4 linked regions of the Caenorhabditis elegans genome follow. The protein of the gene in region 2 interacts with the protein of the main gene of each other region in a pairwise test. Each region holds a gene or a part of one and is shown on either strand. Other genes may lie near its edges. The genes, in order: C27H5.2, lin-15B, golg-2 and ifb-2.

The links.
Region 1: the proteins of lin-15B (region 2) and C27H5.2 interact in a two-hybrid assay, tested with the Caenorhabditis elegans proteins (one large-scale study listed by BioGRID).
Region 3: the proteins of lin-15B (region 2) and golg-2 interact in a two-hybrid assay, tested with the Caenorhabditis elegans proteins (one large-scale study listed by BioGRID).
Region 4: the proteins of lin-15B (region 2) and ifb-2 interact in a two-hybrid assay, tested with the Caenorhabditis elegans proteins (one large-scale study listed by BioGRID).

The regions. Positions count from the first base shown.
Region 1 is NC_003280.10:7,153,996-7,161,476, reverse strand, and holds C27H5.2 (TAR DNA-binding protein 43 N-terminal domain-containing protein), read right to left. Parts: upstream 5,897-7,481; 5' UTR 5,795-5,896; coding exon 5,770-5,794; intron 4,427-5,769; coding exon 4,334-4,426; intron 3,611-4,333; coding exon 3,488-3,610; intron 3,445-3,487; coding exon 3,319-3,444; intron 3,227-3,318; coding exon 3,123-3,226; intron 3,058-3,122; coding exon 2,782-3,057; intron 2,736-2,781; coding exon 2,653-2,735; intron 2,604-2,652; coding exon 2,501-2,603; intron 2,454-2,500; coding exon 2,242-2,453; intron 2,194-2,241; coding exon 2,085-2,193; intron 1,969-2,084; coding exon 1,865-1,968; coding exon of another isoform or gene 1,828-1,864; exon of another isoform or gene 1,794-1,827; coding exon of another isoform or gene 1,772-1,793; exon of another isoform or gene 1,468-1,771; intron 1,084-1,467; coding exon 1,014-1,083; coding exon of another isoform or gene 966-1,013; exon of another isoform or gene 863-965; intron 771-862; coding exon 630-770; 3' UTR 516-629; downstream 1-515. Other genes in the region: C27H5.12 (Ferrochelatase), read left to right, coding at 1-129; fust-1 (RNA-binding protein FUS), read right to left, coding at 6,194-6,298, 6,347-6,956, 7,002-7,140, 7,348-7,385.
Region 2 is NC_003284.9:15,724,344-15,732,129, reverse strand, and holds lin-15B (Protein lin-15B), read right to left. Parts: upstream 6,002-7,786; 5' UTR 5,996-6,001; coding exon 5,922-5,995; intron 5,847-5,921; coding exon 5,388-5,846; intron 4,556-5,387; coding exon 4,274-4,555; intron 4,228-4,273; coding exon 4,131-4,227; intron 4,079-4,130; coding exon 2,223-4,078; intron 2,176-2,222; coding exon 1,761-2,175; intron 1,708-1,760; coding exon 634-1,707; intron 585-633; coding exon 519-584; 3' UTR 269-518; downstream 1-268. Other genes in the region: Protein lin-15A, read right to left, coding at 1-155. UniProt on the Caenorhabditis elegans protein: Synthetic multivulva (synMuv) class B protein. SynMuv proteins are required to repress the induction of vulval development. Acts redundantly with SynMuv class A protein lin-15A to negatively regulate vulval development. Regulates let-23 basal activity.
Region 3 is NC_003280.10:5,036,051-5,042,077, forward strand, and holds golg-2 (Golgin subfamily A conserved domain-containing protein), read right to left. Parts: upstream 4,042-6,027; 5' UTR 3,985-4,041; coding exon 3,928-3,984; intron 3,873-3,927; coding exon 3,681-3,872; intron 3,635-3,680; coding exon 3,560-3,634; intron 3,474-3,559; coding exon 3,378-3,473; intron 3,329-3,377; coding exon 2,360-3,328; intron 2,304-2,359; coding exon 1,293-2,303; intron 1,249-1,292; coding exon 931-1,248; intron 883-930; coding exon 814-882; 3' UTR 508-813; downstream 1-507. Other genes in the region: lrr-1 (PIF1/LRR1 pleckstrin homology domain-containing protein), read right to left, coding at 51-212, 266-376; F33G12.7 (uncharacterized protein), read right to left, coding at 4,231-4,328, 4,379-4,466, 4,513-4,629.
Region 4 is NC_003280.10:5,748,685-5,754,503, reverse strand, and holds ifb-2 (Intermediate filament protein ifb-2), read right to left. Parts: upstream 4,305-5,819; coding exon 4,241-4,304; intron 3,263-4,240; coding exon 3,069-3,262; intron 2,783-3,068; coding exon 2,661-2,782; intron 2,616-2,660; coding exon 2,256-2,615; intron 2,203-2,255; coding exon 1,783-2,202; intron 1,688-1,782; coding exon 1,637-1,687; intron 1,549-1,636; coding exon 1,471-1,548; intron 1,422-1,470; coding exon 1,398-1,421; intron 1,050-1,397; coding exon 902-1,049; intron 849-901; coding exon 741-848; intron 691-740; coding exon 526-690; downstream 1-525. Other genes in the region: F10C1.8 (LTD domain-containing protein), read right to left, coding at 1-24. UniProt on the Caenorhabditis elegans protein: Cytoplasmic intermediate filaments provide mechanical strength to cells. Not essential protein.

The sequences.
Region 1 (7,481 bases), on a different chromosome or scaffold from region 2:
TTTGACCCAATTAACGCTGTGTTTGATAATGAAATAATTCTGGACAAGATTTTGAACAATGTATCGAAAGATGTTTTTCCCTTGATACCGTTAAGGGTATGGATTTGTATTTCGAGTTCAACTTGTTGAAGAAAATATTCAATACACTCAACAAAATAGAATGCCAATCAATTGATTAAATGCTTCCGTTGTTAACCTTTTTCAATTACGTGCCTTTATATATTTTATTACTTTCAATTTATTCATAAATATAAACGTATTTTCTCGTTTTTGATTTGATTTTACGATGAAAGGTGGCTCAGTTTTTCCCATTGATAATTTTTTCTTAGTCAAACTTCTGTGCTGCTAAAACTATTTTCAGTCCTTCCCATTCAACATTAATTTTTCCAGCAAGAATTGTAGTGAAAAAACACAGTACTTCTCATTATCAAGCAATTTTTAGACCTAGCACTAGCCCAAATCAGTATAGTTTTTGTACCGATAAAAATTAAATCATATATGTAAACTGTTCATACTTTTTACAAGTCAGTGAAGAAACTCTTTATTACATACTCTAAATCTACGCCGTTATTTTTTAGATAGAAACTGAAGCACACTCGGATTATCATCAAATATTTTCATCGAATTATTTACAAAAGATCTGAAATTTCTCTGCGTGAAGCTGTGGCATCTGCTGCCAACGAAGAAACAAGCACATTGAGCTCAGCAACTTGACTATCCGATTCTGCGAGTCTTTCTTTCAAAACTCTCACTTGACGGGCTAGATCTTCCTGGAATAGTCGGAAATTGAATATGTTAGATATTTGAAATTATTTAAAGCGAAGCCATGCAAACATAAAATCAGCTTTTCACAGCAAAAACATGAAATAAAAATAATTTATTGAGAACTTAAAATAATCAGATATGTGTCGTGATTTTGTGAAATTGATTCATAATGAAATGATAAGCCAAATGGGTTTTTTTAGTTAAAAGCGAATTGAAGACGACAGACGATGGACTGGACTGCCGCTCACCTGAGCTTTTATATGCATTGCATCGGAGAGACGTCGAACTTCATGACGTTCATGTTCCAATTCTGATACTCTGTAATTATTCAGATTTAACACTCTTGAAACAATTAAATCTCACAACTATTATTAAACTTTGCAAAAATATTCATAAATTTTCAATAGTTTTCAGCTACTACAATTTTGGAAGTTTACCAAAAACTGTCTTTTCTACTATTTATATTTTTTTTAATGTTCAAACCTAGTAGAGCTTTGATAATCAAGAATGCCCTATAAAATGTCCTTATAAATTTCTCAAAAAGTCCAGGATTTTGAGACAATTTGCCAAAACTTTGACAAAAAGTTTTCAAAAACTGTGCTGGAATGGAAAAGTGGCCTATAAAATAACAGATTTTTAAAATGATATTGCAGTTGATTCTCCCATTTAACGGTATTCCTTGCTATTGAACAAAAACGGTTATGAATCCAAAAATTTTATTCATTTTAAAACTATTTACAAATACGAAAACTGATTAGGGTTGAGCATAACCGAGAAGGAAAACCGTTAAACGGAAGAAACCGGAATTTTTTGGGAAAAAGTGAGATAAAAGGAATATGGATCAAAACGTTCCAGGTACGTTGGAAGGAAACGAAAATTTGTGCATTTTCAGGGCATTCAATCAATTATTTTGGTTACTTATCAACTGAGACTGTTAAGATTTCTTTCAGATTATGGTTTAAAAATAATAAAAATATTCGAATTATCAATTACCAAGTCTACGAATCTACCAGTCCCAGATGACGTTTCTGAATTAAAAAATAGAAAAAATGCAAGAGTGATCTAGATAAGAGAATACTCGAGCAGAGGATCAGCTGACCTTCGAGCATTTTCTGCTGCTTCCCGGGTTGCTGATTCAAGAATTGATTGAAGATGGACAAGTTGTTCACGTAGAGATAACACTTCTGATTCTGCTGCGTATTTCTGAAATTAATTAATTTCTTTGGCATAAAATAACTATTAAACATTAGAAATGGATTTCTAACAGTCTCTTTTTCATCCCGCCCAATTTCGATTCAATTTTTTAAGTAGAAACTTACAACTTTATCCCAATCTTGTTGTTTCTCTTTCAGTTCTTTTGCCCAATTCTCATTCACACAAGCGAGTTCATCATCAACATGTGCAAATCTTCGTTCCAAATCTTCGTTTCTAAATTATAAATTTTCCAAAAATTTGTAATAACTCCATCAATCTAACCTATTCCTTAATTTAGCATTTTCCTCGAAAACCTCTGTATGAATACTTTGCATCTGTTTATGATTATCTTTTGTTTCTTCTGATTGAAGTTTCATATTTTCATTTGTTTTCCGAAGTTCCTTATTTTCCTGAATTGCGTGAATAAACGTTGGGATATTCTCATAATCCTCAATTCCAGCTGCATCTGCGAATGGTCTCAATTGATCCAGTTCCTGAAGTAGGTACATTTTATTGAAATCTGAATAACAATTGTTCTTACTTTTGACAAAATATCCTTTGATGAAGTAAGCATTGATATAGTATCAGACATTTCTTTTATTCTATTGTGACTTGTTTCAAGTTGAGCTTTTAGTCCGTGATTTCTGAAATACTAGTGAAATATGGAAACGTTTGCTATTCACCTCCACTTACTCCTCCTCTACATTCATCAATTTCATTTGCAGCTCGGTAACATTTTCCTCCAAATTTCCAGATTTTCGGTTCAACTCGCTGATCTGAAAATTATCAATAAATATTTGAAACTGGAAATCTTTGTCTTACAGTATGCCTCGACTCTTCCAATCGTTTTAATGCTTCACTGACCATTTCCAATTCCTGCTGTTTGCAATCAACCATCGCATTTGCTTCAGATAAATTTGTCTCGGTCTCCTTCAAGTTTTTTTCCAAAATTCGTAACGTTTCATTCATCTTTGTGATTTCCTGTCGATTGGCATCAATAATCTGATCTTTCGCAGTTGAAATACGGCATAAATCCAAAAATTGTTGTTCCAATGGGCTTAGTTCTCTTCCAGCGGTTTTCAACATTTGTGAGCGTTCCTAAAAAATTGATTTTGTGAAAACATCTTTTTGTGAATAAAAATGTCAAAATAAAGGATACCTACCTCAATTGCTTGAATCGGATCAGGGGTTACTGTAGATGATGAAGTTGATGAAGCTGTTTCACGAGAAGAAGTGTGTTGGCGCTTCTTTGTAAGATGGCTCATATCTCAAAGAGCAGTTTGTATGTTTGATTTCAGGAATAAATTGATTTCATATGGTAAAAATTATGAAAATTATGTGCTGAATGACCCTTCTCACCTATTTTCATTCCAGAAGCCAACATCATTTTCTGCACTGCTTGCACACTTTTTTCAAATTGTTTTGTGGCGTCGCTGTAAGAAGCAGTATGTCCCGAATTTCCAGCAGCTGTATGACATCTTTGACCTAAACAAAGTTGTTTGCGGTATGTCCTTGTGGTAAATCTTACTCAAAGTCACAAAGTATTCTCGATCATTCCATGCTCCGCCAGGAGCCATAAACTTTTTTCCATCAAATTTCACTGATTTCTTGCATGAGTCACCGATTTCTCGGTAGTACATCCCAGAACATCCTGTAATTTTTTTTCCTATTTATTTTCATTTTTTCTCATTCTCTCCAGTTCCTGCTGCTATCAATTTCTGTAAAACCCTTGAGAAAATATACGGATCAATAAGACACAGACTGTAACAGATAAGAAAAGCTTCTTCTTCTCTCTCTCTCTCTCTCTCTCTTTTTGGGCGCCAATTCTTTTGCAATTATTCGCATACTTTGCATACATGTTGATTCGATTTGATTACATTGAAATAAACCAAGAAAAAGGTTAGCAGAAATGAGAAGTGATAACAATTCTATGGGTGAGGTGACATGTTTGATGCCTACATCAGAGGGGTGTGTGGTAACAAAAATAACACGGACTGTTCCGCTATTATCTATTTGTCTTGTCAGCAGAAATTCACGTGAATCATCAAAAAATGATACAGTTTGTGTGTTGTCAAATGAAAACATTCACAAAAAGGAAAATTCAACAAGAATTTGGAAATTTCTGGCTACAGTACCTACAGTGTACTCGTGTTGATTGTTATTTTGAAAAAAGTCACAAAAATTATGAAAAACTGAAGAACTGTCTTCTTTCTTCTATTAGCTTCTCGGTTGTCTATGATTTGATTAAAAATGTTTTACAACTGCCAAATCCAAATGTTCTTGCTATTTTTTCTAGAAGTTTTTTGTTTGACACAAGCCTGAATGCATCAAATTAAAATGCATTATCTTCTTGTGTTCCGTTACAGTAACCCACCTGGAAATGCAGTTTGAAGTGAAGTCCACAAGATACCAGCATCTTCATCTAACTCTACTTCAACAGGTTCCACCCCGATTCGAAGAGATTTAACTGCAAACATATCTATTTTACTTTTAAATATCTCCCATCTTCCTTCCGTTTTATTACTTGTTTGATTAGATATGAAACCAAATTATATAAGTAGTTACGGGTATTGAAGAAGATGAAATTGTGTGGGGCAAAAAAATGTAGGCAAACACAAATTTTTTCAAGTTTTTGATTCGAAACACGATTCGTAGGTCATTGGGTAAATAGGCAAAATATCAACTGAAGATATAGAGACTCAGACATTGACATGACCGAATAAGCTCATTGTGCCGGAGAAAAAATGAGGAGAAGGACAAAAGAATTGAAAATGTTTAAAGAGCTTCTTGTTTCTATGTGTTTCTATGTGTGTTTTTTGAGTTTGAAAAATTAAAAAAATGAAATTGAAAGCGAGGAGAGTATTTATATAAAATAAACCACACAAAAAAAATTAAAAATTGAATTCCTATTATGCACATTAGAATTTTCGCCATATCTTACGTGCATGGGTCTCGCCACGCGGACATCGAGTTACTGTAGCTCATATTAATTTATGGACCGAGATTGTATCAACCTTTTCAAATTAAACGAGGTACTGGTGGCGGAATTGTATTAAACAAAAATATGATGTAATATCTACCTGTAAGTTCTAACGAGTTACAGTAACCCGTTGTCAGCGTGGCGAGACCCATGTTCATTAACCATTATCAAATAGTTTCAATAGGAAAGTTCAAAAACAAAAAAACTATTTTCAAAATTGAATACTTGTGCAACTACATAGATGTAATTATTGAAAATCAAACAGCTGTTGTGATCAAGGGTGTCAATGTCCCGTAAAAATTTCGAAAACGGGACAACGGGAATTCCCGTTCCCGTGAAAACACCCCAAAAACGGGACAACGGGAAAAACGGGAAACGGGAATTGACACCCTTGGTTGTGATTAATGCGCACGGATATATTCAGATGGGTCTTGGTGTGCGAAAAAGTTTATGGTAGTCTGCTTTTGGATTTTAGCGACTGCGTTTATTTTCAATAAAAACTACTGGTTATTCAGAATCAGATTTAAAATTATAATGAAAATTAATTTAAAAAAAACTACCATTAACTTTTTTGCGCGCGAAGACCCATCTGAATAAATCCGTGTGCCTTTGTGAAGGCATGTCAGAGTCTATTTAAATTACGATGTAACTTTCTACGTTTTTATCTTCAAATTAAATGTTCGTAGAGCCTATCAATCATAAAGTTTAAGAACTATACTTTAATTCTGAATCTAAAATAACTTTCATTGATAGTTTTATATTTTTATTCTGAATATGCGAGAATAATCTTACTAAAAATCTATTCTCATAGCGATTTCTTCGAATCTTACCTTGTAGTCCTGTAATACTGCTCATTAGTCGGTCGAAGTTTCGAACGGACAGTCTCTCCCGGGTAAATTGGAAGAATGAGAGGTGGGCGCCGAGGCAAAGGGAGGTCGAGACGAAAGAGATGGAGAAGCAGATAGTGTGACGTAGAGATGAAGTGCGGAGAGAAAACAGACAGTGACACGCAAAGCAGCTGATGGGTAGGGAAATGCGGACAATTGCAAAAAAAACAGATGTTAATGTGCAAAAATTTTTATTTTCGTTAAAAATAAAAAGTGGGAAAAAATGAAATATAAAAAGAACATTGAAATTTGAATGTATCGAAGTAGAATATAAAGGTGGATATAAAATTGTTACAAGTCTCTCACATTGAAGAGATCAGAGAATTTAAATTAGATGTTAAAATTTATGGGGAGACGAGTTGATGGCTCAATATGGACGGTATCGGTCACCTCCTGGTGGTCCTCCTCGTCGCTCGCCACCACCACCTCCGGATCCTCCATCTGGTCTCGGGGCTTGGCATTGATTGCATTCCTAGAAGAAAACCCGTGTTTTTTTTTTGAAAAAACAAAATTAACTAACTCTTCTGAAAGCGAAGTTGCTATTTCCGCACTGCTCACATGGCCAGTCATTCTTCCTTTGTTCCATATTAGCATTTCCGCCACCTACTCCACGGCCTCCTCTGAATCCTCCACGATCGCCACCACGGTCGCCGCCTCGGAATCCTCCACGATCTCCTCCGCGGAAGCCTCCTCTATCACCACCTCGGAATCCTCCTCGGTCTCCGCCACGGAATCCACCGCCACCACCGCGACCACCATCGAATCCTCCACGACCACCGCCGCCGCCATATCCTCCACGATCACCGCCAAAGCCACCACGTCCTCCCATAGGACCACCACGACCACCTCCGAAACCGCCTCGTCCACCACGACCACCTCGTTCACCTCCTGCATCAGCGCGGAACTTGGCTAGTGAAATACTCATCGGGCTTGAGCCGCCAGGGAATGGTTGCCCATTGTACATAGTTATAGCTTGTTGAGCTGCAGAAGCATCGACGAATGTTATCATGCATTCTCCTTTTGGTTCTCCGGTGTTGCGATCGGTGTAAATCTTGATTCTCGGTCCGCGATCGTTCTTTGCAATATCTCCGCAGGTACTGAAGACGTCGGCGATGTAGGCTTCATTTGCACTGAAATATAGATACATTTTTTAATTGGGCGATTACAAAACATACGTGGTGGAAATTCCCTGCACAAAGACGGTCTCCTTCAACTCAACTCGCCCATCGGATCCGAATTCGCGGTTTCCTGAAGCAGCACCACCGCCTCCGTATCCTCCTCCACTTGGTGGTCCGTCACGTCGGGGTCCTCTGTCTGCAATGAAAATATGAAAACTTTTACAAACAATTTTTTCGTCCAACTGTCAATAATATAAAGCACAGGAACAAGTATTTTTATATTCGTTTAATGTTTTTTGTTTTTGAATTTCGATGATAAACTCGGTAGGATACCCATTTTTTTTTAATTTTGGTAATAAACTCGTTGTGGTACGAAAGATAAAGCAATTTACGTATTCAATACCTTGATAACCTCCTCTTCCTCCTGGAGGTCCGCCCTGTCTGCAAAACATCATTCTTGAATGGAGTCTTCTGTCTTCTTCTCTCATGCTAACACCACAGTAAAATGTTTTCAGATTTCGACCGCGCAATAATACA
Region 2 (7,786 bases):
GCATTGCATTTCTTGTTGAAAGCCATCCGATCGTTCGCCAAGCTTGACATTCGCATAGCATCAACGTTTTTCATTCGAAATTTTCTTTTCGCAATGATTTCTTCTTTTTCATCTGCCGAGACAACATCTTTAGCTGGAGCCGCTGGAGCCAACATTAGGAATCTGAATAAGTGATAGTGTATGATAAGCAAGATAGGAAAGTAAAGGAAAATTGTCATTTGGTGATGTGAAACCATTTGGAAAGAATTAGAAAAAAACCAGTTGGCATCAAATTTCGGTGAACATTTATAAAACTGATATAAAACTACAAAATATAAAAATGATGAGATCATCTCATCATTGTGAGGTTTCAGATGAATGATGATTAAAATAAATAGGTAAAATAAAAGTGGTAATTTTAAGGGCAATCAAAGTAACAGGGTAAAACTATGCGTATGACTTAATCATCAAAAACATCAATGGAGAAAAAATTATATATAAAAACAACAATCAGGAACGGTGGATGAAAATATTTCCACTTATTCGTTGCTGGGTGGTGTGGGGGTTGGCAGCTTATTAGCATCTTTGCGCGGTCGTCCGACTGGCTGAAAAAATATAAAAATAATTCAAAGCATATATTTTTCAAAAACTCACTCTTCCAGCAATCTTGGGCTTTTTAACAATTGGAGATTCTTCATACTCTTCCTCCTCCTCTTCCTCATCAGCAAAAGCAAAGCTTCGTCTAGCAACAGCTTGTCGAATCAATCTTCCACTTGGTGTTTTTTCAGGCACGTATTCGCAATCTTCGCCGACAATTTCTCCGTCTTCGAGTTGTACGTAACCTTTCTTAAGTGCACGTCGTTGAGATGTTCCCGGATTGTAGTCGTAGTCGGTGAGGCTTTTTTCAGCTTCTGGTGTTACACTATTCTTGGGATACTTCCTTGGGCGCCCTCTTGGGTTCGGAGTATGAGCAGGTGGTGTTACCAAGTTAAGAGGTCCATCCTCGTTTGACAACTCCCGCTTTCTATAGGTACGTTTTATCACTGGAGCATTGTTGTAAACTGCTGCTTGACTGGGCTCGTCGTCTGAAGTCTCTTCCGTTGGGGATCTTGACATTTCTTCATATTCCTCTTCTTCTTCTTCTTCCTGAGTATATTCAACACCGTCGGGGTTTAACATATTCGCCAAATCAATGGCTGAATTCTTATCAGTTCCAGACTTGCGCTCTTTGAGTTTGAGGAAGTTGTTCCCTTGAATGATATACGTGGTCTCAACTTTTTCTGGAGCAGCATCTGGAATCATTCCTTTCAAAAGTCTACCACGACTGCTGAACGCTGCATCTGGGAAATGGCTTCGGCAAATTAGGTTTTCCGTATTGGTGTGAAGTCGGGCTTCAAATTCTGGTCCAAGCTTATCCACCCATCTAGCCAAACGTTCCTCACTTCTCGGGACACGAAGCATTCCACCTCGGTCGCCACGTTTCGAACAGAAGCAGCAAACGCCCGGATTGTCGCATTCCTCATTTTCAGACGGTTTGACAGTTGGGAGCTTGAAATCTTCCTGCTCTATAACCTTGACAGTTCCGTCATGCTGATCAGCTTCCAGAACTTGCTTGCGTGGCTGGCGAAAGAGTTTCGGTATGATTTCTTGCTCATCCACATCGTTTCTCTCTGGCTCAGGTTCGGGCTCGCGGTAGTCAAAGTATTGTTGTCCAAGTTTCTTCAATTCCTAAAAACAATTAATTTGTTTCAAAATGTGCAATTTTAAAAACGGAAACTTACCGCTGGCGTTTCACGAAGATGATTATTTCTTTCGGCAAAATCGTGAAGAATCTTTCGAAGTTGTGAAGCAATAATGTGTGGACGGAGGGCGGAAACAGTGATCAATGCGTTCTGAATCAAGTCCAATGGGCAAATCAGAATATCATCGGCAGATTTCAGACGTAGCATCTGGTAGATCTCGTCGAGGGTCTCCAGGAAATGGAGACGGCAAATGTACGTTTTGCTCTCACGCGCCATGAAAAGCTGTGCCTGTCCTAGAGTAAATTCTCCGCGATAAATACAGCCCAACATAATCAACAGCTTTTCATTTTCAATCGTCACATTCTTCAGACGCTCGTGGATTTCCAAGTGACCACATACTGCACAGCGACGGTTGCAAGCTCTGCGCTTCTGGAATTCCATAGTCACACGATGCCTGAAAATTGGAAATGAAACTGAGGTTCAGAAAAAAATATAGGTTACCTTGCAAACGCATCTTCTGCCGATGCGTCATTGAGATTATCACTGTACATAAGCCGTTGAGCCCCAATTAAATTGTCATAGTCGGGTTCTCCGTTGAAATCGTCCAGTGGTTCCAATTTGAAGTCATCCCTCTGTACTTTTCCATTGATCGAAGAAGGTGCTCCTGACTTTTGTTCGCTGTTTGGAAGCCTCAGCGCAGCTCTCATGGGTACAGTTTGGTTGAGCCTGCCTGTGTGGTCTTGTGAGTTCAGTGCATACTTGTGAACAAAATTTTGCTTTTGAGCAAACTTCTGCACAAAGTTGTGTGAATGAATTTTTTGTGGAACGGTGCCTTCACTTGGCCCACATCGGATCAGTTGCGCAGTGGTAACATGGGATCTAGCTTGTGCAGAAGTTGCAGTTGATGGTGATGAGCTTTGCGACGTGGGTAGTTTTGAGGCCAGTACTACAATTTTCCGTGGATACGAAGATGGTCCTTGTGAAGAAGCAGTCGTTCGGTTTGGCACCGGATCAGTTGAAGGATGATTAAAATCGTCTTCATCCAGTGGTTCATCCTTTATTTTCTCCAGCAGCGCTACGTCTTCAGTTTCTTTCTTGATTTCCTTTTCTGGAATACTGCAAACAACAGCTTGAAGTGTGATAGGTTTCGGAGCTGGTGCTTTGATAAACTGTTGTGGAACAGTTGGCCTTGGCACAATTGGCACATTGGCTGGTCTCGGTGGCAACGGCCTCACTTGCAGCGGAATCTGCCTGATTGGAACAGCCTTGAGTTCTTTCCCATTCAACGGGATTGGTCTTCCTTGAGCCAGTGTTCTCGGTGGAGGTGCTGCACGAGGGCGGATGATTGTTGGAGAGGACGTCGCTGGGCTAGATGTACTTTGCAGGTTAGCCACTGGAGGCTTCTCTTCTTCTTTCGGCACGTGTGGAATGTCATAGTTTGCAACTGTTGGCATCGGAGGGTAGTGATGGCCGACAATGGATTGCACATCTCGATCAGAAGAGATGTTGTCAACTCCGTGTGCATAAAGACCAAGGTGAACCTGCTTCTGAAGACGACTTGCAGTGTTATTTAAAGTCTCAATCATTGATTGAGAAATGACATCCACCGATGCTCCTTTTCCACGAAATGTTTGATAGTTTCCAGCAAGTGCCAAGCAGTTCTCGAGGCGTTGATGAGAGTAGGTGTGGCAGATGTGTTGGAATTTTCCACCGTTCCCAAAGTAGTACCCAGCGTCTATAGAAACTGCAGGACTTGCCAAGTATTCACGAGCAATCACCGCCAAGAATTCCATATCCGTCTGACGCATTCCCCACCAATGATTCGAATTCTCATTCTCTTCGGGCCGCTCGACAAATGAAGTTTGACGATAATAAGCAAACTCCTTTTTAATAATATCATAGCGCTGTTCTTGATTCAGGATCGAAATATCTTGATAAAAGTTTTTGTCATTTTGCAGATCAGAGTTTACAAAGTCGTCGATGACTTTTTTCTCGAGCGATCTCCAGGTTTGTGCTGTATAAACCGTATCTCTGTAGGCAAAACGTGGATCCAAAAGAGTAGCAATATCGTATCGATCCTGTGATGGTCCTGAAGTAATCTCTTTGAATGAAGTAGTAAACGAATCGCGGATTCTTTTTTGGAAACGATATCCCATTGAGTTCGATGCAATAAAGTTGCGAATTGACATGATGGCTGGCACAACTTGAGAAATCGAATTGTTCGGTATGCTGAGCTCTCGACAATGTTTCATGCATTGTTGAAGAAGGCGCTGGAGGTATATAAGGTGGTTGAATGTTTCATTGTCAATGTAGTGGAGGATGTCTAATTTTCCACAGAACTCGGTAAACGTGTCGTGCTGAAAAATATTGAGAGTTTATGATTGTTAGGAATTGAAAATAAAAACTCACCCAAACAAGACATCTTGTGAGGAAAATCGCAGTGGAATGCCAGTCGCCAGAGTCAATACTCGGAATGTCGAGTTCCGCATTCTTTTGCAATTGCATTCTGAAATTTGTGGGTTTTATATAAAGGTTAAAAACGCTAAATTTACCTTCTAAATTTGCTATACATATCCGAATTTTGTTTCATATAACGAACAAATGTTCGCAATTGTGTCAGCCCACTGGAAAACTCTTCAATTTCCATCAAATCGGCCACAAAACGGGTAACGTAGTTGTAGAAGCAAACGTTGTATCGTTTGACAACTGCACTCTCTTCAACCAGCTTGCAAATCTCTTCGTTTGGACACACAATGTTCGTAAACTTGACATTTGAGAAGCTGTAGCTGTTGACGGAACGACGAATGTTTGTGAGGAGACTGTTGCTGTCTAGCCTGAAATTATTGCAAATATTTTTAATTTTACGTTGCCATTTTTTCGAAAACAACTTTAAATTTGGGAATAGTAAACAGTGATCACGTACCGGCAATAGCCGAAGTTGCCGAACTCTAAAAATTTCGGCAACCGGCAACTTTTGGTTGCCGTAATTTTCAGTAATTCAGTAATTTTTGGGCAACCGGCAACCAGGTTTCAAAGTTTTCTTTTATTGGAATTATATTTTTGAGCGTTTTGAAAAAAAATTATAGTCGTTTTTTTTCGTTTACAGGGAAATTTTAGCATTTTTCAGGTTCTCGAATGTTTTTTTTTCTGTGCTACAAAATGTTTGACATTGATATCGGCAATTGCCGAAGTGCCGAAAAAACGTTCGGCAATTGCCGAAGTTCCAGAACCCAAAGTTTTTCGGCAACCGGCAATTGCCGAAGTTGCCCAACCTAAAAAATTTCGGCAATCGACAATTGCCGAAGTTGCCAAACGCAGAAATTTTCGGCAACTGGCAACTTGGTTGCCGGTTTTAAAACATGCTTGTGGCACCACAAGGACTAAATATCAGAGCTAAAAAATTCCAATAAAATTTTCAAATTTTATACATTTTTTGAAATTGGAGAAAAAGCTCAGTTTTAGATTTTGGAAATCGCCGATTAAAAACAAAAAAAAACTTCCAGTTTGATGATCTAATTTCCACTTTTCAAATATTTTTCGAAAAGTCTTAGTGTGATATTTGATTGTTTTGGCACAACAATTTCAACTATACCCAAATTTCACAACTACATTTGTTTCATTGATGTTGTGATTTTCAAACTAAAAATTTCCTTCCAAAAAACTTACTCGGTAAGTAGCAATTTCCGCAGATAAATCGCATTTTTGCGCTCGTACAAATCCTCAAAGTAATGAATCGAAAACGCCAGATACTTTTCGTCCTCATCTCCACAAATGTCGATGGTAACACTGAGTGGCCCAACAGTCTTTGTGTAATTGACTTGCGGTTTAGATGATGTGCTGATTTTGTCCACAAGTTTTTTCGTTACATTTGTAGGTGGAATCACACAGTTCGGATCCACGTGTTTCATAAGCTCCAGGAAAGCTGGCTCATGTGCACATTCGAACGGAATTCCTTGGCTGATGAAGAAGCGAGCCATGAGCTCAGTTGTCTTTGGGTCCGCATCAAGATGGTGGGCAGTCTCCTGTGTTGGAGCTGGCAGGGTACGGTGACGTAGAATTCCACTTGCTCTGACTGCTGGTGGGCGATTCACGGCATCAAGCGTCTTTTGAATTGCTGCTGCGCTTCTGAAAAAATATGTTTTGTTGAATGTGGTTGGAATGCATTTGGAATAGAAAATTATCAATCAAGAATAAACGTACATTGCACTGCTACTGCTGGAAGTCGGAATTGATGCCGGGTTTGATGTAAGTCGTGCTGTTTTTAGCGTTTGCATAATTACCTGAAAATATAAAAAAAATAATAAATTATTCGGTCATCATGCAAGGTAATACGTGTAGAAAGACAACAAGTTTAATCAGGAAGTACGGTAGGATACAATACGCTAAGAACAAGATGATAGAATGGTTAAAAAGTCATTATTATTTGAAAATAAAAGTTAACCGAAAAAAAAACGGTGAATATTTGAATTCTACAACTTTTACTTGACTGAAAACTTCAAAATGTTCACTCGAATTCAACGAAAAAAGCACATAATTTTGTGCGTTTATTATAAATTTTCAAATCTGCGTGCGAGAGGAAATACAATGCGGGAACGAGAGAGTAGAGAGCGTGAGGCAAGTGAACCATTTGAATGTGCGGCGGGGAGGCGACACGCAACACGACCGCAACGCGCGGTGTTGCGGGCCAAGCGCGCGCGTTGTGGCAAACGGGACGCTTATCGATTTCAGAGAAGGATGGGGGGGAGACTGGAATAATGGAACCTTGCAATGTGGTTCGAGACTATGGCAGGTGGGCAGGAGAAAATAGACAATGGAGAGGAGATAGTGTTCTAGACAAAATTTGATTTTTATTTAGAAACGTGCAGCGGATTATTAGATTTTATGGCAGCGACGATATTTAAAAAAAGGTTAATTTGTTTTCATAATGTAAAATGACCATTGTGAGTAAAGGAAAATTTTGAAAAGAAAGAAGGTACTTCCGTACAAAAAAATCCAAAAACCTTGCGTGATTTTTCTAAAAAAGTCCTAAAAAGTGGCCCTCGTTTCTCGTGAACTTTCAAAAATTAGGCACAGGAAACAAAAAACCCAGCAAGAAAGATATTTGAAAAGATGAAAACTGTGAAGGACGAAAGAAAACGGTCGGCCGTGCCATCGCGCATTTGAAATGAGAAAGAAAGTCATGCACACTTTCCCCCCTCGTCCTCTCCTCTCTCTCGATTCCGCGCGCTCTTTTTCGCGCGCAACCCAACATTTGACGACATATTGCGGACTTGGGACACTGGCAGACGAAAAATGAGGAAAGTAGAAACGGAGATAGATGGCAGGAATAGTGGACGGGAAAGTGGACGGGAAATTGTGTCACAGGGTGGGAACTTGGAAATATTCGAAATTTTTTGAAAATATTCACAAAAAATTCTAAATGACAGGATAATTGAGTATCAAGTATATGAGACACAAAGATTTTTGACTTTTTTTCCTAAACCTAGTGAAGAAGAATTATTCGTTGTGAAGCCGAAAAAAAAATACAATTTTGTTTTAGGAAAAATAATGGTTCTGATTTTTTTTTTTGCTTGAAATTGAAAATGGCATAGTGAAGTTTTTCAAGAAATTCTGAACCATTTTCTCATGGTTCAAAATTAAACAAAAAGCTTCATTTATATAGCTTAACATTTCCAGTTTTTTCAAGTTATATGTTCTGCAACGACTTGAAGTCAAAACATTTTTTTACATTGAGATTTGGGTGAACTGGGATATAAAACCGACGAAATTCAAGACTTTAGAAAAGTGAACTCTTTTTCAAGTTTTGAACTGCAGTAGGAAATTTTTGGAACTTTTTTCAAAGAGAATGTAGTGTGAATTTTTGTTTTTGAGCAATTTTGAGTTTATTCAAACACAAACTACATAAGCAATACTATTCTTTTTTGCAGGCGGCGCAAAAAGCGTCCCAATATTTCATTTAATTTAAGAAATATTCATTGATGGAGTTGTGGTTTCGATTTAAATTTTTTCAGAAATGTATTTAGATTCTTCTTTATCTTTTTTCTAAATTCATTTAATAATTAAAC
Region 3 (6,027 bases), on a different chromosome or scaffold from region 2:
CTGAACAATAAAAATTATTATTTTTATATTGAAAAATGCTTTACACGTACTTTACTGATGCAAACCATCACAGCAGGAGTTGTTTGAAATGTGATAGTGGTTTTTCCTTGAGCAATAAATTTGTCGAGAATAATTGGCGGCTTGTTGAGCTCGAATTTATTTCCAGTTTTGTCACCGGCCACGGCCACTGTTATCTGATATTGTGGAGGGGTCTGGAAATATTTTTTTGTTTTGTTACATATTAACTTATGAAAATTTAAATTACCTGTCGAAGTTTTTGCAGAATAACAAATCCTTTTTGCGATTTCGTGGGTTTTGGATTAACTCCGGCATTTGCTTTATAACGTGCAAAAACCACTTCACATGGTAATCGCATTTTTTATTGAAATCTGGAATAAGCAACTATTGGTAGTTTCTTTGTATTTGAAAAGCAAGTCTCTGAAAATCAAAATAAGTTTCTGGAAAATCAAGTTGAACCCGATAAAAGAGCACTGGGGAGAGTTACATTTTAAAGTTTTTACATTTATTCCCAAGAAGAATAATTAACGAAAAAATAAATAATAATTACCATTTGCTTACCAACTAATCGGACTTCAATAAAATTAATAGAAAATTGTCACTTATAAATATCACAAATGAACACAGGAAGTGATTGGGGGATGAAAACGATAATTTAAATAAGTCAGCGGGAGAGTCGAAATTTACAAAAAAAACGGGGACTGGAAACAATAAAGAATAATAATTAGCTAAAAGTTGTACCCACATTATAAGCTAAAAGAAAGTTTACAGTAAAGTCATTATGCACATTTTTATTCAGAGTTCTTGAAGATCTCCAATGCATTGTGTACAGTGGAGTTGTCCAGCGGGTAGAATTTGGGGTCTCTGTAAAGATATATTTGGGAACGATGAATCAAAGAATATTCTACTTACACTGATATCAGAAATAATTTCCAAAATTCGTCTAACAGATGCATCTTGGGTTTGCCCGAAAGTATCACTATTATCTTTGTCAGCAGAACAATCCGATAATCGTGGACTATTTTGAGCTTCCAACACAGTTGGTGGTGGAGTACTTGGAATCTTCTCATCATCACTATTACCATGTACTTTTTCACGCTCTGGAACTTCTTCCAATTTGGCGTCCACCAAAACATCTTCGTCTCCGCTCATTTCATCAACTGTCGAATGGCTATAGCTTCGGGAAACTCGGCGAGCTGCTTTTCGGGAGATTGAGCTTGTCTGGTATTCCTAAAAATTAGCTTGTAGGTATTACAGTTTCATAGATTAATTACCTTTAATACTCCACCTTTGTTAAGTACAGTCATTAACACATTTTGCAGTTCTTGGCATCGTGCAACAGTTTTCGTTCTGTCCTCTTCCATAGCCTTCAATTGTTCATCTTTTACACGAAGCCTTTCACGAACCAATTTTCTCTGATGCTGATAGAGAACAACGTGATCAGCAATTGTGTCATTTTCGAGTTCTAGCTGCTGGTTGATGTGCTCTAATCGATCAATTGTCTCAACGAGTTCAGCATTCTGAAGCATTGCTCGAGCGAATCGTTTCTCTAATTCTTTTCGTGCCCATAGATCTTCATGAAGCTCTCTAGAAGACTGCTGATTTTCAGCTTCTTCTGGAACCTTGGTTTCTTTCAACTCCAGCTGTTCCTGTTTGCTTTCGAGATCTTTCCGTTCTTCCTCTGCTCTTCTATCAGCTCGTTCATCTTCCAATTGTTGACGGCAATTATTAAAAGCTTCTCTGAGTGCTTCATTTTCGGCATGAAGATCCTGAACTCTGCCAACTGCTTGAGTGAGCTCAACGTGAATCGAATTCTGATTCTCATCTTCTGCATTTTGCCTCATTATTTCGTCCATTTGTTCATTATGAGTGTTACTTCGTCTCAAATCAGCACGGACCAGTTGAAGTTCATGAGTTTTCAGCTCTAAATCGGATCTGATTTCTGCATTTTCTCTTTGAAGCGTTGAGATATTTTCTTTCAATTCTTCATTGAGTTTCACGATTTCTTGAGATTCTTCACGTTGTTCTTGACTTGCAGCAGATTCTTGTGATGCTTCGAGATGAGGTTGTCGAGCGATTACTTCTGACAGATTACCAACAAGACCCGCGGTTTCTAAATTCAACTGCTTTGTCAATTCCCGTACTTGATGCTCAGCAGATTGTTTTGCAAGCTCGACATCTGCTTTTTCTTTCGTAAGAGTAACAAATCGGTCTTCCGTTTCCAAGAGACGTTCTTTAAGCTCTTTGTTTTGTGCCACTGCGCGGGATACGGTCGCTTTTTCGTTCTGTAAATTCGAAAATTTGAAAAATCAGGGAAAAATATTGAAAATTGTAAATCTACCTGTAGTTGCTCTGAAAGAGACAACAAATCAGCTCCGTTTGCAGTTGACTCTAACGTTCGTTCTTCCAAAAGTCGATATTTCATTTCAAGTTCTGCCAATGACTGTTCTCTTTCGAAAATAACTTTGTCTTTTTCTAGAATTTCTTCTTCTCTGCGTTTCTGATCATCCTCACTTCTTCGTTCCCACTTCCCTCTTTCAACGAAACACGCTTCACGAATCCGTCTTGCTACATCTTCTTCTGTGATAGTTGGAATTTCATCATGCCTCTCAGAAACATCCATATTCATTTGAAGCTTCTGCAGTTCAGATTGAGCAATTTCGAGTTGATTTTCGAGATGTTCAACTTGATCGTTTGAAGAAAATTTTTGATTATGCAAATGCTCGATTTCTAAAGCCATCTCTGCTTGCTTTTGTTGAAGTGCATACTCTCGATCAGCATAGTGAGCTTTTAATGTCGCAGATTCGACGAGAAGACGTGATTTTTCAGCTTTAACGTTCTCCAGCTCACGTTGCAAGTTTTCATAATTCGTATTCTCATTCGGAATCCCTCCCGGCGGTCCTGTGGCTCCAAGTTGTTTCAAATAAAGATCTTTCATTTGAATGTCTTTCATGAGCTGACTGATGCGATTTTCTTGAGCCGCCGTTTCTTTTATCATACTTTTCACACGTGCTTGTGCTTCACTTCTCTCGTGTTGAACATTTAGCAGGTTAGCTTGCATTGATGCAACTTCTCGTCGAGCTCCTTCTAGCTCTTGATGACGTGCAGTTAATAGGGAATCTTTTTGTGCAATTGCTTCATTGAGTTTTCGAATTTCGTTTGACGAAAGTCCAGATGATGTTGAATTGCTCATTTGGTTGGCAATGTTCTCTGCAGCAGCCAGCTTGTGTCGAAGTTTTTCGATTTGCTTGTTTGCCTGACGAAGATCACTTTGAGACGAAACTTTCTCTTCAACCATTGCAGACAATGCCTGAATACTCCATCATTAAATTAAAATAAATAAAACGAGTAATCCTTACATTTTGGAGTTGGACAATTTGATTTTCTGTATCCACATGTATTCCATTTGCATTGACTTGTGAATAAGCGGAATGAAGTTGGGAGTAATGGGCACACTAAAATGATTTTTTTTTTAATAAAATCATTATTCATATAATTAACGAATTAGTTTTTGTATTTGTCAATTTCTCATTATCCTTACCAATTCGTCATGCTGGGTCTTCAATTGTGTATATGCCTGATACCATTCGTTTCCGTTCGGTTGAAATGGTGAAGCCTGAAGAAAACATTTACTCATTTAACGATGTTATCGATTTTCTCACATCCAATCCATTTCTTGCATTCAAACTTTGTGCAGAAGAAGATGAGTGTGGAATTTGAAGCGCTGTCGAATCTTCACTGACAACGCTGCTCCGTCCATTTAAACCTGCTCCAGCACCCGGCTCTGATGAAATGATACTTGATGCAGGAGAATTACGTCCATCGAGTCTTTGACGTGCTTCAAAGTCTTTCAGCTGTAAAATTTACTCTATAAACTTTGTTTTAATAAAGTTTCCTCACGATTCTCACCTTTTTCCTGGCCGCTGCCAGCATTTCAGCTTTGGCAGGTGCAGCGGCATCGACCATATCACTGATTAATCCAGCTTTACGCCGAAAAACAGTAAAATCTATCGATTTTAAAAGCTGAAAATGAAAAAAGACGTGGAAATTAGTGGTTGGACGCAAACACCGCAATTGACGACATAGCGCAGACAACAAAGCGAGTTCGCAATGAAAGCAGCAGAAATTCACACAAAAAAGAAAAAATAATAGGTTTATGTACAAATAACTAACGAAACTTTGGAAATAAATGCTAAAAAACAACCGAGCAAATTAGAAAACTGGAGGCTTGTGATCAGATGAGACAGGCGAATCGGTTTGCCCCTTGGTGAGCCAGGCAAGAGGTTCTCGTGTGAACGTGCGGTATGCTTCTAGAATTAAGTAGTTGAAGATAACATTTTAATTGAGAATATCAACTCACTAGCCCACTTTGAATCAGGATTGATCTCATCTTGGAAGTAGGCATAAGAAAATATCAGCATGCCTACTCCAAATGCGATTAGGGAGTTCTGGAAAATACTTAATTCGTTTTTAAAATTGATTATCAAAATAGACCTCTCTAAAAGAAAGCTTCTTTCCTCCTTTAGGTAACTGATTTTCCGTGATTTCCTTCCATTCGGCCTGCCCGTCTTTTCTTCTGATTAAAACACGCAAAATCCGAGTCAATCTCATCTGGAACAAAATCTGTTTTATTTTCTGCCTTTTTATTTGTTTTAAAAATTGGAAACGAAAAGGACAAAGCGAGAAGTCAAAGTCTTCCAGTAATTTGATATTTTAGAAGGAATTGAATTGGTCATGGAATTCCGGAAGGGGACAAAATATTTTTAAACGGACATAGGAAATGGGGAATTTTATGAAGCAAAATATATGTTATATAATCGAATGTATTAAATTTGAAAAAAATGTGAAGAAAATTAATAAAAAAATACTAGGAAAAAAAATATCTTCAAAAATTTTTGATGAAAACGCGCCCCATTGGCACTTACTAGAGACACAATACGCAGGAAAACGAAATTTATGAGTACATAGAAGTGAATATTGGAAAATGTTCTTCAAAACTTTTCATGACAGTGTTAAACTGAAAATTAAAAAGAATGGTGATCATAGTAGCAACGAATTCATATGAGATATATGTAAAATATTTAAAAATGAAGGATAAATGAGGAATATATAATTCCCGAGTGTGGAGGGGTACTGTAGGAGAACATAAACAAGCCTATTATCTCTGTATACTGTAAAGCATTAGAATACACAAGCAAATTTGAAGATTATATTTTGGTTATTCGCTCAGTTTTTAAAAATATTTGGAAAAACACTGATACGAGTTTCCGAAATTTTTGAAGACCAATTGTTCAGTACCTAGAAACCTTTCGGAAAAATAATCAATGTCATTACTGTAGTTCTCTGAAAAAATGTGTTATCTGAAACTGTCACTTGCATATAAAATACGACCTTCCTCCAAATCACGCTCTGAGCACAATCGATCTTTCTACTCCAGCTGTGTACATGGACGGACATAAAGGACAGCCGTCAGTGTCACTTCCGCGCCACTTTTTTCAAATGTTTTATGCAAGTTTTTGGTTTAGTTTTGTTTCGAATTTATTCCCAATTGAATTGAATTCGTGACTGCAGAAGAAAATCGAATCGAATCTCCTTTTTAGCGACTCGGATATACCCTGAATTTTTTTTGGAGTACTGTACTATAAACTTTCTCTCCACTTCAGCAATATTTATAATATCCTATAGGAGAACGGCTACTTTCTCGGAACAAAAATATTTCTACAAAACTATTTTTTAATTTTTGCGCAAATGAATTAAGAATTCTCCTTTGGCGGCTGCGGTTATATATTAATTCCAAACTTGTATAGAAAACACACGAAGTGAGGTAAAACCTATTATTATTCAGTTTTTCACTCAAAAATACAGTCCTTGATCTTGCTACGACCGAAATATGTCCGTCGAGTACACGGTAAAGTAGTTTGCGCCTCTAAGGAGTACAGTAACCAACTATGGGTTACTGTAAGACTTATAGGCGCATACATTTTTAACAGATTCAATTTGAGAACATTT
Region 4 (5,819 bases), on a different chromosome or scaffold from region 2:
TGGTATTATAGTTCTGGATTGCATTTTCCCTTAGTGCTGAAAAATATATGTACAGCTTGCAACGTGTTCAATCATTTCCAAAAATTCTGTAGAATGTATTTTAATGTAGTCTCAGTCAAGAGCGAGTCACGACAACTCGGTTCAAAACCACTCCTAATTTTAATTATTATTACTATTATAAAAAACCTTCGAAAACCATAACTAAATGGCTTAAAACAATTGTCGAAAAAAAAAGCGAAAAAAATTTTTTTTAGAAATGGTTTTAGACCGAGTTATCGTGACCCACTTTTGACCAAGAAATTTTTTTTGGGAAGTATCGTGATAAGTACACTTCTTTTAATCATCAATGATTTTGAACTAAAACAATATTGAACAATTTATTTCAAAAAACAATTGGATTGGAATGTAGCAAGTATGTACGTCGAATGATTTTGGGAGTGAAGACAGCAAGGAAAGGATTCAATGGGCATTTCAGAATAAATTTAAATTCATCGAAAAAGAAATCGATTAGATGATGGAGATTTCTTAACGGGAAGAAGCGACCGTCGTCTGGATGTGCGAAGCCTTCTCAATTCCGTGACTATTGTACAAGAATGTTTCAACTTGTCCTCCTTGTCCCCATGATGGGTGAGATTCCATCACAATTGAGTCTGGTGGTGAGTTAATTCCTCCTGAATTGCGTCCGTAGATCTGTAATATTCCGGTTTCAATATGATATCTAATTTTATAATAATTAATACCTTAAGATGTCCGTGTTGTTGAATAACTAAGTGAGATGGGAGACGGAAAACGAAGGCTTGAACTCCATCAATAACACGACGGATTTCAAAGTTGCTTACATCTTCGGCCTGCAATTTTCCAATTTTTCATGTTCAAAATAAAAATAAAGATCTAAACTCACAACTGATCCACTGGTGTTTTCAAGAATGATGTACTTTCCTTGTGGATCGCACTCAACGATGCTCACATTTCCCTTAGCGTGTCTCTTGAATGAGGAACGAGTTTGAACCTCTCCAGAGTCCCAGTGATCTTGCTCGACTGGTACCAATCTGTAGAATTTAATATAACAATTTAAAATTAACGGGGATAGATTAAGCTGAAAGTGCATGTTTTCAGCTAAAAGCCTTGAGATTTGCTGACTAACAAAAATTGTTAGCCAAGAAAATGATAAATAGGTGATGTGAAAAGTAAGCAGTGTGTTGAGATAAGGAAGTGCGTGAAAAAGAGAAAAAGTGCAAGTGAAAGAGCATGAATTGTGAAAGCAATTAGCTATAAACTACTGTATCACTACGAGTAACCTTTGATCTGAAACTAGTACATTGGTACCTCTGCCAATTTGATGTTGAGATGATCTATGAAAACTATACTATGAATAACTAATCTACAATCTAGGATACCTTAAAGTTCCTTGCGGATACACTCTGAAAGGTATTACATATAATATATCTTGATTCTATTAAAGATTCCTACTCAGGATATTGCTGATATTGATGACTGTCAGAGTATTGCTGATCATTTAAAACAACGGGAGTGGAATCCCCTTCTGTTCTGGAAGTCAACTAGGAAATAAAACTAGATTCTAAATATCTACGTGTGCAGTATGTTAATGTCTATGAAGCGGTTATAGCTACCGAACCTTGTAGTCTCCTGCTGGGCGACAACGACCCCCTGTCCAACATGAGTGAATCTGTGAAAGTAAGGAAATGATAAAATGGAAGAATGAGACAATCAATTAAAGTATATGTTGCTCTTTTTGAGAGATATTTTTGTTACTTATATTACCTTCCTTCCTCGGACTCGACAAGCTTTCTGTAGATGGCAATCTCAGTATCCAAAGTTTGTTTGGTGTTAAGAAGAGCTTGAAGTTCAGCAATCAAAGTCTGGCAGTCTTCACGCATAAATCGGAGGGCATTGTCTCTCTTGTGAAGCTCTGATTCGTAAGCTCTTTGATCTTCTCCGAGTTGAATCTGGAGTGTGTTGGCTTCTCTCTCCAAAGCAGAGTTACGGGCTTCGAGCTCGCTGAGCTTGGCTCGCAATGTGGTGATGCTCTCGTTCATCTTTCTGATCTCCTCTTGACGGAAAACGGCAGCCTCGTTCTTGGAGACGATTGATGATTCGACGGCGCTAATCTTGCTCTGGAAGATTGTCTCAAGATCAACTCTGGTGGTTTGGATGATCTTGTCGTATTCAGCCTTGATTTCTCTGAAATAATTTAAATTAGACAATAAAACTATATCATTTTTTTTGAATCCAACCTGATAGCAAGAGCCAATTCATTCTTGAAGAACTCTCTTGTGTCGGCTGGAGCTTGAGCAAGAAGAGTGCGAAGCTCAGTGATTTCTTGAGAGTGGATTCTTCCCAAGAATTCCAGCTCAATCTTGAGGTCATCTTCCTCAGCTTGAAGGCGGCGGCGATCAACAATTGCGGCGTCAAGCTCATCCTTGGCGGCAGCCAATTGAAGATAGAGTTGATCTTGTTCAGCATAAAGTCTCTTTTCCTCGTCCAAAATGGCGGCATAGCGGGACTTGTTTGTGTCAAGCTCAGCTTGTGCTTGTGAAATAGCTCCTCCCCAAGTGGTCTTCTCACGCTCAACTTCACGACGGGCCTCTTCATATCTGAAATATTTGCCATTAGAATGGAATATGCAAATAAATTGTTACCTGTGTCTGTAGTCATTCAAATCATCTCTCAATCTGTCGACCTTAACTTCAACTCCAATAGTTCCAGAATGAGCTTCTGAGATCTCACGGCGAACTTTGACCAACGAATCGTTGAATTTGAACTACAAAACGTTGAGTTTATTATTCTGATGCAACATTATTAACCCCTCAAGATCAATTTCAATTAATTTTATTGGCAATCTTAACACACACATACACACCCATTTCCTCCAGAGCACTACTTGTCATCTTATCAGTGCCATTTTCAGTTTCTCTTTTAAATTCCTTACGCCTGCACATTTGGCAACGGGCGCTTTGTTTGAGAAGAATTGATATTATCTGATAAGAGAGAAATTGTGTCAACAACTAAAAGTGTTTCAGATTCTCCTGTAATTTCGGGGCACAAACCTTGATCTGTCCGATGTCATTTCCAAGTGATCCTCGGAGGGTGTCCAATTCAATCACAAGCTCCTTGTTACGATCCTCAAGTTGACGGACACGGCTGATGTAAACTTCAAGGCGAGAGTTCAACTGCTGCATCTCTTGCTTCTCGCGCTCGGCAGAGGCAACGAACTCCTCAGCGGCATGGCCGGCTGAGACACCTGAAATATTATGTAAACTGTGTTCCGATGTTTAAGCAGTGCTCCAAGAAGGACCATATTTTTTATTGTTATAAACTAAATTTTGTGAAAGTGTCTTATTGTGAAGGGTTTGGAAAAAGCAATACAAACTCATTTTTTAAAAATTAATTTAGTACGAATATGTAAAACAAAAGTCTGAATAAACCTCTGTTTTCCAAATTTTTTCACAATATTAAAATAGAAATTTTAAAAAATAGAGTTAGTTACAGCTAATGTTGTACTTTGAGATTTAAGATATACAATTTTCCGTGTTATATACCGTTTTTCCTATTAGTCTTGCACTCCCACTGCTTCATTTTGACAGCTCATATTAATTGTTGTAGGCTTCATCAAAATTGTTTAATTATAACAATGTAGAGTGATTTTAGTGTTGAAAATTATTTGATGAAATAATAACAATCGAGATATGATTTGTCAAAGTAATGCAAAGCAGGAGCAGAGTAAATTGGTTAAATGTGGCATATTTATTCTTTTTTTTTCACAATTTGGGCTAGCAATCAGAAAATTCCTACTTATAAGAGTGATCTATCTTGTCATAAACAATCTGATTTTTCACTGAAAAGTATTATATGCTACCATCTAGGAACAGGCCATTTTGCAGTTTGTCCCTACGCTGCAGTTCTCGTCTCAATTCTTTATTGATATCGTGAATTAAAAGTTAAGATCGAGTTTAATTTGTCGAAACTTATGGTTTTATTTAAACATCAGTTATTTTAACTTAAGCCCATAATCTAGAGAAACTGCTAGGATTAGTCGGCAATGTGTGAAAGGAGTTCACAACGGTGTCAATAAAGCCGACAAAGAGATTTGAAACAAAGAAAAAGATTGAGACAATGGAGGAGATCAATTTCAGACAAACTAGTGTCACCATATTATGGATTCCTCGGAGAAAACTCTCGAGGTCGTGTGACTGTTGGAAATTTGAAGAAAAGTGCTTACCTCCGTGTGATGAGGAGGATGTAGTTGTGGTGGTTCTGTGCATCGAATAACTAACCGCCGACATGATGAAGTCGCTAAAATTTTGAAAATAAAACAAAAGATGTTAATAACAAAAGAAGATAAAAATAAATAGAATAAGAAAACAATGTTATTTTCACACTTTCAGCAGTTAAAAAACCAACACCAATAATAAACGTTCAATCTTCAAAAAAATAAAGAGTCTTAACACCAAACCGTACAAAACGCGGAGTAGTAGGTTTGATTTTACAATGGCATTTTGAGAGAGCAAAGAAAGAGGGTTATCAGTTGGCAATGCTCGATTCCACTCTCTTTTATGGTGACTTATCAGTCCGAGTTTAGAGATGGAAAACGGAGGGGAGGGGGTGAAAAGAAGAAAAAAAGAAACTACTCTTTCTTACATTCTTTGTATTTATGAAACAAAATGACATTTGACTGGGAATGATGAGGAAGTTGACATTTGAAAAAAGGTGTTAAGAACCGCAAAGTCTGAAACTTTTTACTAGAAACTATGACGAATGAAATGTTAATAAGGTTACAACAGAACATAATCGGCAACAATGGAATATTTCAGAACTGAAACATTTTGTCTTCTAGATTCCTTTCAATTTAATTTTTAAGGATTTACAAATTTATCTGGATTTAATTGACAGAATATTTTCGCTTGTATTGTCATATTCAAAAATGTTTAATTTTAAAAATTCTAGAATTTTGAAGATGTGAAGGTTCAATCAAAATCTCTTCATCAATTCAATTCTCTCTTAAACTGTAATTCAAAAGCTACAAGTATTTCCTGAAAAAACTTTGTTTACTCTTGTTGTCTACTGAACTTGAGGTGTCTTATCTTAAAAAGACCATCTGTGTTATTTTTCACAAAAAAACAGCTACAGTAATTCCTTAAAAGTTCATCGCAATAATTTGATAACAACAAAATAGGTGAATCTTGCAACAGTGAACGAATTCCCTTGTAGGCACAAAAAACTCGAAGGTTACCTACGCGCTGTCTTGTACCTCTAGATTTTGTGCCAAATTGCAGACGAATATAACTAGGTAGGTAGGAAGACCTACCTACCGGCGGAGCGTAACTTTTCAAGTGTTCTGGTTAACATTTTATTCTGATTAAAGAGTTTTGTGAGTCATAAAACCCTTGCTAAAAAGTTCTTAAAAATTGTGCATTTTCGAAATTGAAAAAGCATCGAATTGAAACTATGATTGGAATTCCAAAATAATTCGAAACATCGCTTTAATTATTTAACCTTTAAAAAACTAAAAATCAACCACACCTCTTCTTTTTCAAATATTAAAGTCCGCGAGCTGCTAATCAGCATGAATTGGAATTTTGAAATTTTTGGAAATACAGTGTTTTGTTTTTTTAATACAATTCTTCCGTTTATGCTTCTTTCTCATTTTTGTGGTCAATTACTTTATAAAATTAGCCAAAGTATGAATACCAAAAAACAGGATGTTTAAAGAATTTTGCTTTTGGTATTCTCTACAACTCCATACATCTTGCTCAGTCCTCACGACTAGTCTTTGTACTTTCATTCAAACTTCATTTATC